Linked DNA regions of Mus musculus. The protein of the gene in region 2 purifies or fractionates together with the protein of the main gene of each other region. This does not show direct contact. Links are inferred from orthologs where the notes say so. Each region holds a gene or a part of one and is shown on either strand. Other genes may lie near its edges.

What was found.
Region 1: the proteins of Ttc1 (region 2) and Vapb purify together in Homo sapiens (affinity purification with mass spectrometry; 4 studies listed by BioGRID and IntAct, counting the BioPlex papers as one, with this or other methods). This does not show direct contact. The link is inferred for Mus musculus from reciprocal best matches to the Homo sapiens genes TTC1 and VAPB.

The regions. Positions count from the first base shown.
Region 1 is NC_000068.7:173,766,569-173,775,938, reverse strand, and holds part of Vapb (vesicle-associated membrane protein-associated protein B), read right to left. Parts: intron 4,419-9,370; coding exon 4,315-4,418; intron 1,546-4,314; coding exon 1,465-1,545; intron 1-1,464. UniProt on the Homo sapiens protein: Endoplasmic reticulum (ER)-anchored protein that mediates the formation of contact sites between the ER and endosomes via interaction with FFAT motif-containing proteins such as STARD3 or WDR44.
Region 2 is NC_000077.6:43,741,922-43,751,968, forward strand, and holds the start of Ttc1 (tetratricopeptide repeat protein 1), read right to left. Parts: upstream 6,088-10,047; 5' UTR 6,001-6,087; intron 3,527-6,000; 5' UTR 3,494-3,526; coding exon 3,164-3,493; intron 1-3,163.

The DNA.
Region 1 (9,370 bases), on a different chromosome or scaffold from region 2:
GGCCCCTAGAAATTATGAATAAGGGCAAATAATGAAGTTGGGCTGAGGCTAATACTTCAAGGAGGAGAAAAGGGGCCATGCATATTGCACTATCAAATTCCTGCCATGCAAAAATTAGCATACTGCAATTGTGCAAGCTCAGGAATTATCAGCTGCAAATTACCTTTGCAGGAGAGCTGAGCATCCCAGCAGTGGGGGCTGGGGATAGAAGGCCCAGAGAGTGCTACACAAAGGCTACCTATAGGCAGGGCAACAAGGCCGGGAGTCAGCATGGTTCTGCAGGGGGTGTGTTGGGGGTGTCACAAACTCCCTGCATAAAAGGAGCGAGGGTACCCTCTTGGAGGATGAGCTAGTCAGTGGAAGCAGGGCTAGGAAGCACTCAGGATGGTCCCTGAGGTTCTAGGCAGCAATCTGAAAATCAGGCATCTAGCTCCACCCTGTCCCCCACAGCAGGGAGAGGCCTGTAAGGCAGAGCCCAGGCTAAGTCCACTTATCATGGGACTGGGGTCAGGATCCATGTCTCCCTGCTTTTAAGTTAACTTTCCTGCAACAGGATGCTATTCTCTCTCCATTCAAAGAACTAAGATGCCAGTAGCTGATTACAGAGTAGAAGAAAACACGACACAGTTCTGACCCCAATCAACAGCATTCTTGGTGCTCATTACGATCATGTGAAGAAATACTGCAGAGCGTTTCCTCTTCCCAGCTCCTGCCATCACTGGTCCTCAGTGAGGGTCCAGATGAAGTTACGACAGGGAGAGCGGGCAGCCAGGGAAGCAAGGGAAAAGAAGGGCTCTCAAAGGGGCAGTGGGCATACAGCAATGTCTACAAAAAAACTGGAGTTACCCCTAGTGTCTAGAGAGCAGGGTCTGGTTCATGCCTGACACTCCACAGTACACAGGATGCTGCTCCCAATCCAGCACAAAATGCCAGCAGCACTGGGGCCAAGAGTTTCTTGTCTCAAGGCAGACCTGCTGGGCTGAAGTGATGTGGGGATGGGGAAAGGGATGGATGCTGGGGGACACTGACAAGGAAGCTCTGAGAGCTGACCTGATGACAAAGGCAAAGCTCTGAGAGCTTGCCTGATGACAAAGGCAAAGACTTCCATTTTGGTCTCCCTACTTTACCATCCCAGCATTAATGACCTTGGGAGCCAACAGGCTGCACTTCTCAAGGGGAAACTGTTTCTGGTAGCCGCTTCCCCAAGGTTGACTTTATAAAGCCTATCTGTTGACTTCAGCTTATTTTTTCCTTCATACATTAGAGAGAGGAAAATAATTTGCCAACTTAAATCTTGGTTTCACAGGAGACAGCATGCAAATCAGTACCAGCTTGCAGCATTCGATCACCTTAAACCAGAGACATACTTACCATTAACTAGAGACATACTTACTGGTTAACTAGAGACATACTTACTGGTTAGCTAGAGAGACATACTTACTGGTTAACTAGAGACATACTTACTGGTTTAGCATTTTCTGCTGGCAATTCAAACACACATCTAAGTTTTGAATCCATAAGGTCTTCCGGTTTTGCCTCCTTCCACTAAAACAATTTAAATTTAATAATCAGGGTATTATCAAGCTGCTGGAAGAATAATTCTCCTCCTATAACTGACAATTTCAGAAAAATACTCTTAATGAGAAAGCCCTGATGTATATCAAATAAAGAACTTAAGTCCGCTGAGATTTCAATATTTTTAACATGACAAGATTAAATGCACTAGCTCTCCTGAATATTTATCACACTTTGCAAACCCTGCAGGCTTGCTGCCTGGCTCCTTAGAGCCTGTCCAAGCTCACTCATTGCTGCTGCATGGGCAGTACAGGCCTGGGGAGCACGGCTAAACAGGGTCACCCACCCTCTATAAAGGCAATTCCAGGTCTCTTTAAGACAATGAAATTTACACGACAGGGCAAACACTACCAAGCGAGCTGGAGGATGAGTATCTAGCCCACCTTGGCACACGCCAGTGGGGCACATCCCACTACAGTGGCTGCATCAGGGTGGCCCTGCCCAAGTTACCACAACCATCAGTGATTTTCTGGTATGTGCCCCTCACTGATGTCTCCATTCAGATGTAGAAGATGGGACTCCAGGAAGGGTTGGGAATGACAGACCAGTAGAGCAGCAAGGTGACAACTCAGAAAAGGAAGACACCCACCCTCACCCTCCCAACTGTGCATGGCAACTAGGGCCCTCAGTCTGTCTGGCACCAGAGCACTGCCACCCTAGGTGTGGCACAAGCAGTCAATGTGACAGCACATCCCCACTCACAGGACCCCTGAGAGCAGAGAGCTACACAGGAAGACACTAACACGTGTGTCTGCCGTTCTGTACAAGGCCTGTGATTGTGTGCCACTTATGAGTCAGAGAGGATCATGAGAGGGCCAGCTCTGGGTGCTCATTGCTGGTCAGCAGGACACTTAAGTGGTCTCAGAGATCTGCCTACAAACTACAGGGCAGACAGGCTTAACACTGCCTGAGCCAACTCACCAAAACACACCAAGAGTGGGACAAGCCACCAGTAACACCACCTGAGTATGGGCCATTCTTACCCCCAAATTTGAATCTGAATTTAATGAGGAAATAATCAAAGCCCTCCAAGCCCACAGAACCGGACCCTAAAGCCCCCAAGGGGCTGTGGGTTTTTTAAAAACCACAGACCACTCTGGAGTACTCAGAGAGCACTGGATGGGTGAGCCCTTTCAGCTACTGATAGCTCCAGTTCACTGTACTGACTGCATATTGTACTACATAGTAAACAGTGTCCGTGTTCTACAGGGCTCAGGGATAGTCAGCAGCCGTCCTCTGTAGGCAGCTAGCACAAGAAAGCCTATGACAGCTAAGGCAGCAAATGTTCACACACAGGATATCGAGGCAGGAACAATAGGGCACTGCTCTTGGTTGCCTGCATGGTGTCAGCTTAAGAGTAACACAGGCTCTCCAAACAGCAGGGCCTGGTGTGGGAGAATCAACAGCCACCTGCGTCCAACTCAGTTTTACTCAGTGGGGTGTGTCCACAGCGCCCTCCAAAATGTGCTGCCCGAACACTTAAAAATAGTTATTCAAGAACAACCCACCGAGAAATAAAAGTCCCTTTATCAGCCTTCAGCGCCCAGCCCTAATTACGTGGGTGACATGTCAGACGTGGGCACACTCTCCTCAAAATCCTGTGGGCTGCATTTTTATGCCCAATTCACAGGTGGCCTAAACCTCAAGAAGTATCAACAAAGTCCGTTCAAAACAGGCATAGCACGGGTAAAGGCAGGCCTCAGCTTCAGACGAGGACAGCCAAGCCCCCACCTTTCCAGCTACACCACAGAGGAAGCCAGGCCAAAGTCACGGCCTGTCAACGGTCCACCGTCTGTGCCTGTCATGTGTCCCTTCAGCACATAGACTAACACAACACAAATCTGGAAACGAAAGGTCAGAGAAATGCCCTGGGTCGGTCTTATGACAAGGTCTCGCTCCAACTCAAAACTTGTCTCAACCTTCTCTTTCTGCCCCAAGGTAGGCACCAATGCGAACAGCGGGCTCAAAGCAAAGCCTGTGCGGTGGGGGAGAAGGCCCCCACATAGAGCTCGGAGACAGAACAACTGCTGATAGGCCATCTCTGGGCTGGCCAGATATTGAGGATCAGTGCCGCATGTGCTGGCCCCAGGTCCTGTCTCCTGGAGTAGGTAAGAGCCACCTTTGGGGAGAATTGCCGTTCTAATGCCCCTTCTTCTGGAAAAATCAATACCATAAAATCCTGCTTATTTATAAAAAACGAAGGCATCTTAATTTTACCAAAATTAGGGACACTGTTAAACATGTACTTACATGAGGAAGGAGGGATAAAAATGAAGGCAATTAAAGAACAAAGAAGCAGGGCCTGTTCAGAGACAGAGCAGATGCTTAGTGTGAACAAGACCCAAGCTCCGTCCTCAGTAAAGAGGGAAGAACAAAGCTGACCAGAGCTACTTCCGCTCCGCAGAGGAAAGCAACAGCGGGCAGTATCACTGGGGGGGAGGGGAGGGGCATTTAATGTTAGGCAAACCCTTCCGGGCATGAGGGCTGGAGACAGGCCAGAAGCATCCACTCAGGATAGAGCACGCCGCTGTGGTGCAGGAGAGGGAGGAGAAGGTCCACAAGAGCAGAGAATTGAAGCAAGTTCAGTTCATCGAGTCAGAAAAGAACAGCCATGTAAAATGTTAAAGCTATTCATCAAAGTTGGGAAAGTGGTACAGGGGCCTGAGTGTACACCTCCCTAACAGCACCCGCCATGGCTGCCCTAGCGGGCTGGAGAGAAGAAGAAGTGTTCGTACTTACTACTGCCTCCATATCAGAAGTGTCAGGCGGAGCAAACATAGACTGAACCATAAACTTGTGTTTACTTTTCTCATTGGGATCATAATCGAAAGGCTGTAACATCACTGAGAAAGAAAATATTTCATTAGGAGGGTCACAATGTGGTTATCGGAGTCGTTTGTCACGCTAGGTCTTACACTGTGGAGGAAAACAGCTCCCCAGCTCTCCCATCTGGACCCTGAGGAAGGCCGTGGCCAGCAGAGATGTACAACTTCCCCAACCCCCATCTTTCAGGTCAGCAGTTAAGGCCAGAAAAACTGGGGCCTGTCCCAGCCTCACAGCAGGTGCCAGCTGAGCTGTAGGTGGGTCTGGAACTTGGGTGCCTGATTTCTGATACAAAGATTGTGCGCTCACACAGAGCCACCCTCACCTATCTCACAGCTCTCGCTGAAGACATAAAATGGGAGAAACACCAAAGTCCTATTTTTCTCAAGGAAACATTGCCAAATGATCTTTTCGAGAAAGAAAACAGAATAACTCAAATCATTTCAGGATGGTTTTCACTTCTCTCCACCCCATTTCCCACGCAGCTCATCAAGGTAAGGCTTGAAATATGATTTTGCCAATAGAATTCTGGAGACGGCATAAAAGCTGGATTTGCCACAGCAGGAAAAGCAATTCCAACTCCTGCCCTACCCCCACCCAGAACCCAGAGGGAGCTCACCCAAGGCACCCCGCTGTACTGAGGGAGTCTTGTATTCTGATTCACTTCCTCGGACCTGTTTCCCCATGACTCAGCCAGGCCCAGTTATAGGAGGGCTGCTATACTCTCTCTGCTGCACAGCTTTAATAAGCTTTGCCCCTAGTGGCCTTCCCTGAAACCTAAGTTCACAATCAGGGGGCACCTCAGAGTCAGTGTGGGCCTTGCATCTCCAACCAGAACCTAGGCTCCTGCTCTTCAGACTGCCATTACCCCACTCCATCCGAAGAAGCAGGCGCTGCTGTGGGAGGAGGGCATTATTCTGCTGTCTATTTTTCTGATTAAAACAACAACAACAGCAAAATAAAAAACAGAAAAACCTGAAATAGAACCCAGTTTCCTTAGTCCACAAATGCATGCACACGCGCGCACACACACAGGCACGCACACACGCACACACACACACAGGCACGCACACACGCACACACAGGCACGCACACACGCACACACACACACACAGGCACGCACACACGCACGCACACACACAGGCACGCACACACGCACACACACACACAGGCACGCACACACGCACACACACACACACAGGCACGCACACACGCACACACACACACACAGGCACGCACACACGCACGCACACACACAGGCACGCACACACGCACACACACACACACACACACAGGCACGCGCGCACACACACACACACACACACACAGGCACGCACACACGCGCACGCGCGCGCACACACACACACACAGGCACGCACACACGTACGCGTGCGCACACACACACACACACACACACGCACACACACACATAGGCACGCACACACACACAGAGGCACGCACACACACACACACACACACAGGCACGCGCGCGCACACACACACACACACACACACACAGGCACGCATGCACACACACACAGGCACGCACACACACACACACACACACACACAGGCACGCGCGCACACACACACACACACACACACACAGGCACGCACACACGCACACACACACAGGCACGCACACACGCACACACACACACACACAGGCACACGCACGCACGCACACACACACAGGCACGCACACACGCACACACACACACACACACACACAGGCACACGCACGCACGCACACACACACACACACACACACACACACACAAACCCAAAGGTCTGCCCCACAGCTCCTGCTACTGTGTATCAAAGGATATCAGGCCTGCCTTCTGCAGTCTGTCCCATGAGAAGTTTCTCCTTCCTAGATAGGAGGAGATAAAAGGCTAGGAGGGGTTCCTGCCTGGCTGAGTCCAGGCTTACATTCATTCCCACACTATGGGTCCGATTTGCCTGTAGTTGGTAGCCCACACCTTTAATCCCGCACTCTGGAGGCAGAGGCGGAGGCAGGTGGCTCTCAATTTGAGGCCAGCTTGGTCTACAAAGCACACGCAAAGCCTGGGTCAACCCTAGTATTGAAAAAAAAAAAAAGAAGCAAAACAAAGAAAATGCTTCTTGTCTGCCTCAGAGCTGTCTAAAGATGCTGTTAACTTCCTGTCTGGGAGACCCACCCACCACGACAGCGGTGCAGCGTACTGAATGAAGCAGACACGAGAAGCAGCCTATTAAGACGTCAGATTTGCAGAAGCTGTCAACAACGCCAGCCTTCCAATTTCTTTGAGAATAGCTACTTTCATAAAAAGTATTACTACTAACATGTAATTGACGGATTGTAATTTTTAAAGAAATTAGTCATTTAAAAAATTTTAATATAATAAATATCACTACAGCTCACAAAGACCTGCTACACTCTTTGGGGTCTTCAACTGTCCCTAACACAAAAAGTTTAGAGACTACACAGGAGCACAGCTGCCACATACACTGCCTTCCTGGCCCTCTCTAGAGGGAATCAACTGGACTAGTGCCTATGGGCCCTTTCTATAGGCAACCTAAAGAGAAAGGAACTATCTGCACCCATGCCTGAGCCACAGGGGCAGCTTTGAAGGCAGCACTGCATATGATCCCTGTGCTACTCTGAGTAAGCATATACCTCAAGACCTCAAAACCGCAGCTTTGCCTACAACCATCACCACCCCACTCCTGGCCTACAGCATCATGGTCGACAGCCTCACCACCTCACTCCTGGCCTACAGCATCATGGTCGACAGCCTCACCACCCCACTCCTGGCCTACAGCATCATGGTCGACAGCCTCACCACCCCACTCCTGGGCCTACAGCATCCTGGTCTACAGCCTCACTACCCCCATTCCTAGACTACAGCACCCTACTGCTCAGCCCCATAGTGGAGAGCCCAGAGAAACACTTGATGGCAGGGCACACAGGCAGGCCTAGTGGTGGCCAGTCACAATTCCTAAGTCAACATACATCAATGTTCAGGGCCCCAGTGAGGATAACCAGAGAACCTCAGCCCAGAATGGGAACCAGGGCCTCTGGAGTGCTCTTCTAAGAAGCTCTGGGTATAAGGTGGAGACTTGCCCCTCCCCCACTGCAGAAACAAGAAGAGAAGCAGCTGTCTGCCTCGCACTGGCTGTCCTTTCTGTAGATGACACTCTACAGACCCTTGGTACACCTAGGACCCACCCCCCGCCTCATGGAGCCCTTCACGTACACCACCGAGTTCCTGTTCCTCAGCTGCCACCAGCTCCTGTCAAATCCAGTCTCAGCAGAGATTTTATGAGAACATGGAGGAATAAATGTTGGTCAGCGCTAGCTCGCTGCAAATTGTGGCACAAATTATGTACTTTTTCCATGACAGGCTATAAAAGAGCTTCCCATTAACTTAATTTATTTCATTTAAATACCAGAGACACTGATGATAAAAACCCTAAGTGAACCGTCCCTCCTTTCAGAGCGCATCTGCTGACAGAACATTAAAAGAGGCCTGTTACCAGGAGACAACCTGGGCTCAGTCACCCCTCACCCACACTGGGATGAGGACACAGCCTGCTGCATTAGGCATGAAGGTAGGACCCTTGCAAAGAACCTTCAGGGTCATGAAGAAGTGGATCGATCACACCAGACTTCCCTCAAAAGAGAAAAACCGGGCCACTTAAAACACACACTGGCTTAGAAAATGACAATCTGGTTAAACGCAGCATAAAGGCTGCTTCCGGGGAGCCAGGCAGCCATGGCCGTTTTCATGTATACCACAGTGGAACAGGCAAGTAAGTAAGGAACATCTACAGAGCTCCACTGCACAGTCTCTGAATCTAGCCTGAAGATGTCTCCACATGCGACAAATCCACAACCATTTGACTCTCACTCACTCGCGCTCTTAGTCCCAAGCAGAGGTTCTGCAGAGCTGTTTCTTTCCCACCAAATCAGCTTTCTAGACCTAGGAAGATACCCCACAGCCCCCTACAGCACTCAGATGACAACTTCCTGTAACAGCAGCTACTGCCCAAGCAGAAGAGACCCAGTGGAGTTGCTCACATCCTCTGGGCTTCTTCCCTCCTTTCACAGTCCGAGAGTCAGAAGAGCATCATCTACCAACTCAATGCATTTGCGGCAATGTCGCAGAAGACAAGTGTGAGCTTCTTACAGCTAGGGTGATTAGTGTGGCCATGAATGCTGGACTCCTGAGACAACTGGGTAGGCCCCAAGCCTTTGCCATGAGTAAGTTCATTGTTTCCTTCAGGGGCCACTGTGACTACTTTCCTGGGCCTCTACTATTCAAACCGAGCAGGTCTATAACTAACCTCACCTGGTTACAAGAACACTGCTGCTCTACCTGTGTCCTCTATGGGCCTCTCTGGCTCACGTGCTCAGCTCAGGTAACAAACACCTGGCAGTCTGCTCCATCTGCTTGTGCAGAGCCCACGGTGCGGCCCTCAGCCTTTCTTCAGGATCAAGAGAGAGGATGCCTGTAACAGGTCAAACAGCAAGGCCCCTCACCCTTCCTATGCCATAGCTAACAGCAGAACACAGCCTCCTAGTATAACTGTGCACCCTGAGCCCCACCAAGTGTTAGCTGATCTCAGGGAGACTGAGACAAACCTCTGAGGACTGACCATCTACAACAGAGACCAGTGAGGCCTAAGGCGGGCAGGGGCAGTTCCTGTGCCTGGCAACTTCTCTCTCGCCTGCTTTCTGGGTGCTCATGGCCAGGACTCTCCCAACTACCTTGTCCTCTCCCTTCCTTCTGCAATGAGCTGGCACTGAAGTTACAAAGAGTAGGTAGGATGGGACTTCAAGGGGAGCCAAAGACACCACCTACAAGGACAGGCTGAGATCACTTTCAGCACCTTCTGCTGCCCCAAGTTTTATAGACTGTACTCCTGGCTCACCTTGAAGAGCCAAAAGGTACCTTTCAGCTAGGTATCTCTTGAGCAGTCTTCTAGG
Region 2 (10,047 bases):
AGGACTGCTGAGAAACTGAAGCCAGCCTGGGTTATAACTGAGACCCTGTGTCAAAAACCAAAACTTAAAGCTGGCAGTGGAGGTGTATGCCTTTAGTCACAGCACTCTGCAAGGCAAAGGCAGGTGAATCTCTGTGAGTTTAAGGCCAGCCTGATCTACAGAGCAAGTCCCAGGACAGTCAGGACATAGAGGAACCTTGTCTCCAAAAAAAAAAAAAAAAAAAAAAAAATAAATAAATAAAAACTCAAACTTGAGATTTTTCTCCTCTTGGCTTCTAATAACTCAGCAACTTATATAGATGAATTAAAATGTATCAAACACAAGCATGGACCAAGTGCTGCCCACAGAGAAAAGATGGAACATGCTGTGTCTGGCATGTGCCTCCTTCAAGGAACATGCTAACAATGTGGTTGCTCCAAGGCCCACTGGCAGAACCATGGAGGCCTACCTTCCACATCTGGACAGTGTTTTGTCCAATCCCCACAAAAGCAAGGAAACACACAAAACCACCCAGGGACGCCCTTCCTCCATTTCGTTAAAATCTGAGACTCAACAAAATCTGTGAAAGGAAAATAACATAAGCATGTATATTTCGTGTACAAGAGAAGCTTAAGACCTAAATAACTGGTACTCTCAGGTCTAAGACCCATGCCTGGTGGTAGTGGTGCACACCTGTGATACCAATATTCTGGAGGCTGAGCCAGGCATGTTTTTTGTTTTTTTTTTCAAAAACAAAACAAAAGCAAAACAAACAAACAAACAAAAACCAAAAAACCCAATTCAAAACAAACTAGAAACCAAAATAAAAACCGCATTTCTCTTGAGAAGACTTGTTAATACACTACTTGAAAGGGCCGTGTATTATTAGATGCTGGATCAAACAAAGTAGCTGAATGTTGGTAAGGATGCGAAAAGGTAGGTGTGAACTGATGCCACTCTTTATGGCATCTGCTGTGTGCCGGACAACCATTTGTGTAAGTACAACAATAACTCATTTCCCGGTACAGCATGCCAGCACTAGCACATTTGCCTCGCACACTCTAGGCTCTGCAATCTAACCGCCAGCACCAAAAGTAAAAGCAGACACACCCTTTCCGAGAGGTCACCACAGCTTGAGAAGGGCTGGCCAAGAGGATACAGCTAAATGACTGGCAGGGGCATGTGAAGGTCAAAGGACATCATGTGGGACTCAAGTCATCAGGCTTGGCAGTAAGTGCCTTTTCATGCTGAGACATCTCTCCTGGTCTAAAGTTCTAGTTTTTGTTTTAAGAAAGGGTGCTGCCCAGGCTGTCCTCAAGTTTGTAACTCAAAGCAATTTTACTGCCTCAGCCTCCTTATATTGTGATTACATGCAAGGACAAGCACATCTGACTACAGACATATTCTCATTTACATCTTAAAGTTATTAGATTAAGGCTGAAAATTTTCACTTTTTTGGCTCATTGTTGGATTTTTTTTTCCAGTGTCATAATCGCCATAAAATCAGGTATGATACTCCCCTGTTCCTAATAATCTGAAATAACCAATGAGAACATTTCTTCTATTTTGTTGGTTAATGATAATTTCACAAAAATTCCTTATAATACTAGCAGAAAGTAAATAGCAGCTAACGGAGGGCTGGGGTAACTCGGTGGTAGAGCACTGGCTTAGCACGGGTAAGTTCCTGAGTTTACAGGCACATACCCCCCTAAAAGTAAGTCTGCCTACTGACTTTCTGTTTTGATTTGTTTTGTATTTTGAGACAAGGTTTCTCTGGGTAGTCCTGGCTGTGCTGGATCTCACTTTGCAGACCAGTCTAGCTTTGAACTTCAATCTGCCAGCCTCTATCTCCTGAGTGCTGGAACTAATGGACCGGCTTGGCTACTAAACGTTTGACATGGATGCTATAAACTGAACAACCCTACACTGACTTTCTAGAGGTATGTTTCTGAAGGGTAAACAATATTTGCTTTCATTTGCTGAGACAGTTCTGATAAGGTAGCTCATGAACTTGACTATCAGGAGACCTGAGTTGGAAAACCAGTTTTACCATCTATTAGGTGCATGGTCTTAGTCCTAACCACTCACACATTAACTTAAAAAACATCTTAGCTTTAGTAGCTGGTACACTGTAGGTTTCCAACAAATAGCTACTATGCTTCACAATGTGTTCCTTGACACTTAACGGTGCTCTGTAGTCACAATGCCACCAAGGTATTTAGGATTAAAAAGCACAATCCATAAAATAGTGCTAAGTAAGTTTACACGAGGTTTGTTACAGAAATTCAGCAACTTACCTTAGGAGGGATCATTTAAAAAACAAAGCAGAAGGTGGTGATGAAGATGAAGTTTAGCAGCAGAGCACCTGGCCTGCATTTGTGAGGACTTGGATTTGGTTATGCCACAAAAACCCTAGAAGCTACAGGTATGTGTGCACATACGTATTATAAGCACGTTGTAGATCCTTAAGGTAGAAGACAGAATTCTAAATACACAGGAAAAAGCCAGCAATTGCTTTGTTAAACTGAATGATCAGGTTTTGGTTTTGTGTGCCCATATCACAGCACTAGGGAAGTGAAGGTAGGAAGACTGGGAGCTAGCTTGGGCTACGTGGTCATACCCTGTCTTAGATAGGGTGTTACTGCTGTGAACAGACACCATGACCAAGTCTTATAAAGGACATTTAATTGAGGCTGGCTTACAGGTTCAGAGGTTCAGTCCATTATCATTAAGGTGGGAGAATGGCAGCATCCAGGCAGGCACAGTGCAGGCAGAGCTGAGAGTTCTACATCTTCATCTGAAGGCTGCTAGTGAAAGACCGGCTCCCAGGTAGTTAAGACAAGGATATTACAGCCCACATACACAAGGCTGCACCGCTTCAATAAGGCCACACCTCCCAACAGTGCCACTCCCTGGGCCAAGCATATACAAACAATCATATATCCTGACCTAAAATATATACAAAGCAATGAATTAAAATTTAGATGGGTTTTAAGCTAGGTAGGCATGGTGGCTGAGGCCTGTAACCCTAGCATTTGGGAGGCAGAGGCAAGAGGACTGCTACAGGGTCATTCTATGTATTGTTTCAGTCCAGTCAAGAGGACGCCGAGAGACCATATCCCCCCCAAACAGCACCACCACCATCACAGGTGACTTAGCAGGCACATTATCCACAACCATTTACCTGTTTCTCTTCTTCTGGCATGTTTTTTTCCAGTTCAATTAGGTATTCTTCATCCAGTTCAGAACTAGAATCATCGCTGGCTTTGCTCCCTGCCACGTGCGCCCCTGGCTGTTCCTCCTCAAACGAGGCACTACAGTCATGAAAACATTCCTCTTCAACATGGTCGTCCTGTGGATGGGCTTCAGCAGCCTTCGGCAGCTTGCTCTGGCAGTGCTGACCCTTGGGATCAGAAACCATGGGGCTGGCAGACTCTCCTTCTTGAGGATCTGCGACTTTCAGACCATTGAACAGATCTTCTGGGACCTTACAGTCTTCTGACTTTTCCTCCATGCTGAGTTCAGGGAGGGAGGTACGGCTAAATGTCTGGAAAAAAAGAAAAATAATGTTTTTTAGTTATCTTCGTATATATGCAGTCTTTTTTGTTTTTTGTTTTTTTCAAAACAGGGTTTCTCTGTGTAGCCCTACCTGTCCTGGAACTCACTCTGTAGACCAGGCTGGCCTCTGCCTCCCAAGTGCTGGGATTAAAGGTGTGAGCCACTAGTGCCCGGCTGTATACAGTCTTAAATCCCTTCTGTCGGATATTAGCCCCGAAATTTAGAATACCCAAGATATAAGATACAATTTGCTAAACGCATGAAACTCAAGAAGAACGAAGACCAAAGTGTGGACACTTTGCCCCTTCTTAGAATTGGGAACAAAACACCCATGGAAGGAGTTACAGAGACAAAGTTTGGAACTGAGACGAAAAGATGGACCATCTAGAAACTGCCATATCCGGGGATCCATCTCATAATCAGCTTCCAAACGCTGACACCATTGCATACACTAGCAAGATTTTGCTGAAAGGACCCAGATATGGCTCTCTTGTGAGACTATGCCAGGGCCTGGCAAACACAGAAGTGGATGCTCACAGTCAGCTATTGGATGGATCACAGGGCCCCCAATGGAGGAGCTAGAGAAAGTACTCAAGGAGCTGAAGGGATCTGCAATCCTATAGGTGGTACAACAATATGAACTAACCAGTACCCTGGAGCTCTTGTCTCCAGCTGCATATGAATCAGAAGATGGCCTAGGCGGCCATCAGTGGAAAGAGAGCCCCATTGGTCGTGCAAACTTTATATGCCTCAGTACAGGGGAACGCCAGGGCTAAGAAGTGGGAGTGGGTGGGTAGGGGAGTGGGTGGGGGAGCGTGTGGAGGACTTTTGGGATAGCATTGGAAATAAATGAAATAAATACCCAATAAAAAAAATATGGAAAAAAAAAACCCTTCTGTCTTTCACACCTAAACAAACTTCTACATATAACCCCGCCAAACACAGCTTGACTTTCTTTGACTGGGGAGTCATTATTTTTATTTATTTGTTTTATAAGTATTATTGGTTTTTTTGTTTTGTTTTGTTTTCTAGACAGGGTTTCTCTGTGTAGCCCTGGCTATCCTGGAACTCACTTTGTAGACCAGGCTGGCCTCGAACTCAGAAATCTGCCTGCCTCTGCCTCCTGAGTGCTGAGATTAAAGGAGTGCACCACCATGCCCGGCTTGTTTTTTTTTGTTTGTTTGTTTTTGTTTTTTGAGACAGGGTTTCTCTGTGTGACCCTGGCTGTTCTGGAACTTGTTTTGTTCATCAGGCTGGCCTTGATCTCAGAGATCCACCCTCCTCTGTCTCCCCATTGCTGGATTAAAGGAGTATGGATCATGCCTGTCCAAGGAAGTCATTTTAAAAACAGGATATCACCAATTGTGGTGGCCCATTCCTGCAGTCTCATCATTGGGGAGATGTAGTTAGAAAGATCAGAAGTTCAAGGCCATCCTTGGTTACACAGCAAATGTGAGGCTAGCCTGGGCTATGAGACCCTGTATTAGGCCCCTCCCCAGCCCCAAACTAGAGTATAATAAACTCACACTCAATGCCAATTATCATTTTAACTGATAGTCTTGCTGATCAAATATGGTATCAGACTTATACCAAGACTAACATCCCCACTTCCCACTGGTGTTGGAGACCGAATCTCAGACTTTGTGGTACATGTAAGCCATTTAAACAACTGAACCACACCCTCGATCCATACCCTAAATGAAAAGACTGATTTTAATGTGACTTTTCCACGTCCGGCAGCTTGCTGGATGGCACAAATTAGACAGAATCCAAAACAGCTGCAGGGGAAAAAAAAAGAAAGAAAGAAAGAAAGAAAGAAAGAAAGAGTTCTAATCTTTGTTCAGAATAAATGACCAAGTTGTCAACAGGAAACAATGAAGTCCGAATGGGACACTATCGCCACCGGGAGCCGAAGAATAAGTTTCTTATGGAGCCCAAGATGGCATCTGTGCCCAAATCGTGCTTATCATCGTAAGCAAATGCAAGCGGTATAGCTTAGGTAGCTAATTCTGGAAGGGGAGCCTTTGCGCAGATGTTTTCACAGGCATCCTCCAGGGACTCAGAACTCAGCCTTGGAAGAGCCGGTTCTCAACTCTCGCTGCGCAACCCTGCTGCCCAGATCCTGACAATATTGGTCTGCAGTCAGGTCAGAGCATCTCTGTTTTTTTAAAGTGACTCTGATGATTTTACGTTCATCCTATTAACCACTGCTGCTCTAGAAGCTGAGTCAGAACCTCTGCGGTGCCTGCCACCCCTCTGGTCGCAGCAAAACCACGCCAATGACCCAGTGTCGCGTTAAAGTCCGAATTCGTCCTAGCCTGTTAAAAGGAAAAGTTAAAAGGGAGGGTCAGGACTCGCAGGCTTCGCTTTTACTCGAGTGTCGCGTCCCTCCCGGCTATGAGTCAAGGTTAGAAAAGCCCCTCCCCGCGCGACCCCGCGCCTGTCCCAGGCCACAGTCCTCACCGAACGCCGCGAGACCCACGATGGGCTTCACAACCTCCCAGCTCCTCTCTCCACCGCTCCTGCCTCCGAGTCCTTCTACTTCCTCCTGAGTCAGGTGCACTTCCGGCCGCGCTGGCCAATGGCGCCATTGCTGGCAAAGCATTCTGGGAAATGTAGTGGCCAACTCGAAGAGAGTGAGCGGAAGTAGCTGTGTGACGTCACTGTACGGCTCAGTACTATGAGCCTCAGCTGTCATCTTGAGTTATGTCAAATCCTGCCAATTAGCACAAAGTAATTTTTCAAACGCGACTACTTGTGGCTTTAAAAACGTCTTTATTCTGGCGTCCCTCATGTTAGGAATGTGCATAAGAACCCGAAAACATCCTTCGTCCCTAAATAAACATTTCTTTCCAGTAGTTTCCAAAGTGCCTTTCAAGAGCTCTGTTAGGAGAGTAACAGTTTTCAAAACAGTAAATATTACACACTTTTTCCACTCATTTTCTCATGACTGTACAGCGCTTTCCAGAGGTTGTCTTCTGATATAGTGCAACAGAAGGAATACAAAAAGGGGTGAATTATTCTAGCTGTTAGGCAAGTCCGTCTATTTGTGAGCTAGACCTCCAGGCCTTCACCTGTCCTGTATTAAATCAGAGATTTGCAAAAAATTGAAACAATGCCATTCTTCTTGTGACAGGATAGCAAAGATGGAGAAAATTAAAAAGACATCGGAAAGGAAAGTAGCCTTTCATCAAGACTGGTTAAGTCTCTCCTAGGCTCAGTCATGAATTCCCACAAGGGGCTAGGAAGCATGACTTAGCAATTGAGAGCAATGACTGCACTTTCAGAGGACCAGGGTTCAATCCCCAGTACTCACATAGCAGCTTACCACAACTTTAACTCCAGTTCCAGGGCATTTAAGATCCTCTTCTGAACTTCATGGCCACCAGGCACACACATGGTAAACAGGCATACATGTAAACAAACACTCATGCACACCAGAAGAGTTAATTAGATAACAGTAAAGTTAAAAAAATTCCATAGAGTTATACAAAATTTCATAGACAGAAATACTGTTCCTTTGATTTATTTGTTTTTAAATGTAGATACTTTAAGAATTAACACAGAAGCTAGGCAGTGGTGTCACTTGCCTTTAATCCCAGCACATGGGAGGCAGAGGCAGGCAGATTTCTGAGTTGAGGCCAGCCTTGTCTAAAGAGTGAGTTCGAGGACAGCCGGAGCTATACAGAATTATTAAAAAAAAAAAAGATTTAACACTGAAATGAAACATAAGACATACCCATACCGCTGGGCTGTGGTGGCGCACGCCTTTAATCCCAGCACTTGGGAGGCAGAGGCAGGGGGATTTCTGAGTTCGAGGCCAGACTGGTCTACAAAGTGAGTTCCAGGACAGCCAGGGCTAAACAGAGAAACCCTGTCTCGAAAAACAAAACAAAACAAGACATACTCATACCCAGTGAAGCATGAGCCATATTTCTGACTCGTAATTTTCTGACAAATAAGGTTGTGAGATTGTGAGGGGCTAGGGAGATGAGAGATGACTTAGTGTGACAATAAGGCACTTGCCAGCAAGCTTGCTGACCAGAGTCTGATCTCCAGGAACATGTGGTAGAAGGAGAGAACTAGCCCCTGAATGTTGTCTTCTCATCCACACCTATATGTCATTCACACACCTTTATCCACCTCTCTCTATCTCTCCCTTTCCTGATAAATACTAATACTCAACAAAAGAAATGAAAAGTATACGATTCTGGTGTTATTTTCCATAGTTGTTTATGTAATTTGGTTCACTTGAAAAGATGAACTAATAGCAGGAGTTTTTCTTAAAATTTTGAGTAAATATTTACCGTGATAAAAGCATTGAAAAAGTATACCACGTATACCACATCCTTTATTGTTTGTTTGTTTGTTTGTTTTGTTTTTTTTTGTCAAACAGGGTTTCTCTGTATAGCCCTGGCTGTCCTGGAACTCACTCTGCAGGCCAGGCTGACCTCGAACTCAGAAATCTGCGTGCCTCTGCTTCCCAAGTGCTGGGATTAAAGGCGTGTGCCACCACTGCCCCATTTTCAAATCTCTTAAACAGTGTAACTTTAAAATCCACCAGAACAGGTATAATGGGTATAATCTCAGTGCTTGGGAGGTGGAGGCAGTAAGATCACAGAACTTTGTGGCCAGACTGGGTAGGTAGTCTGGGCGTAGTGAGTTCTAGGTCAGCTACGTCTAGAAAGTGAATAGCCATCTGAAATGCTAGCAAAAATGTATTTATATATTAGCTACCAACATCCCCCACCCCCCACGGGCCTGCTGTAATCCCAGCTATTTCCTTGAAGGTGAGATTGGAAGGTTGAAAGTTACAGATGAGTCTGCCTGGGCTATTGAGAGAGTCCACAACTAACCTGGGCATCTTAGTAAGACCATACATGCACAAAACAAAAAGTTTAAAAAACAAACAAACAAACAAACAAACAAACTTGCCTATCACATCTAAGGTCCTTTGTTTAATCTCTATCACTGAAAAGAGAGGGTGTGGGGGAGGGGGAGTAGGAGGGAGGGGAAAAGAGGACAAGGAAGTGGATCTCTCTCTCTCTCTCTCTCTCTCTCTCTCTCTCACACACACACACACACACACACACACACACACACACACACAAGTGCGTGTGTACTGATCACACTGTGAGATTGTGTAGTTAGAAACCTGTTTCTAGTTATGGTGTGTCTCAGCGCTAGGACACACCTTTCATGCAAGAGCTTTCTATTTACTGTAAACAGGATTAAATGGAGTCAACCTTAGGCCAAGAGGTGGAACAAGCAACCAGTTGACAGGAAGTGAACATAGAAAAAAGAACCATAGAGCATGAGAGGAAGTCAGGAGGGCAGATAGAAAGATGCAGGGAGAAGAAAGGAGGGACATTCAGTTGGAAGGGTTTTAAGACTGTGGAGGAAGCCGGGTGTGGTGGCGCACACCTTTAATCCCAGCACTCGGGAGGCAAAAGCAGTCGGATTTCTGAGTTCGAGGCCAGCCTGGTCTACAAAGTGAGTTCCAGGACAGCCAGGGCTATACAGAGAAACCCTGCCTCGAAAAAAAAAAGACTGTGTAGAGGAAATAAACAGAAGCAGATACATAGACCCTGTCTCAAACAAACAAAACAAGGGCCAGTGAGATGGCTCAGTAGGTAAAGGCCCTTGTTGCCAAGGCTGACTACCTGAGTTCAAGCCTCAGGACTCACAATGTAGAAGAGAATCAACTCCCCTGAGTTGTCTTCTGGCTTCCATAAGTAACCATTTTACATAACTTTCTATCCTACTATGGCTGCAATAAAACCTGAAACTCCTTACTGTGACCCCCCCCCCCCAGACTTGTGAGATTCTGCCTCTATTTCTGCTGGGGTCACTGTCCCCCTTAGTCACTTGCTATTCCTAACTGTGCAGAGACTCTTTTCCCTTCTCCAGACCTCTGTGCACTGTGTCCTCTGTGTGACACTGGTGACAGCTGCTCTGTGTCATGCTTGAACTCTTTCTGCAGATATTCCCTTACTGCCGCTAAAGTTTCTCACTCTATCACATGGTCTCCTGTCTTTCCATCACCACCTGGAAGTGATGCCCTTTAGTCCATCAAAAGATCCACAAGACTCTTGTCTGCTTGACTTCCTGTACAGAGATCTAGAAATTTTCCCAGGACAAAACAGGAAACCAAAAAGGTCTTTTTAACCTACTTCATTCATGTATTTATTCACTTGTCTAAGACATGTATCCTGGGCTGACCTTGAACTCAAAATTTAGCTGATCTCCAATCCTCTTATTTCAAGCACCCTTGCCCCGCTCTCCCCCTAGTGTTGGGATAGAGGCATGTACCACAACACCTGGTTTTATCCAGTTTAGGGATTGACTCAACTAACTGAGCCATAGCCCCAGCTCCAGAATTCAAATATTTATTGTGGAAATATATAAAATCAGTAGGTGCCATAATTACAATGTTAAGACTAAGAGTCAGAAAGTTTAAAGTCTGACCTCCGACCCTCACCAGTTACGAAGGGAAGCACAGAGCAAGGG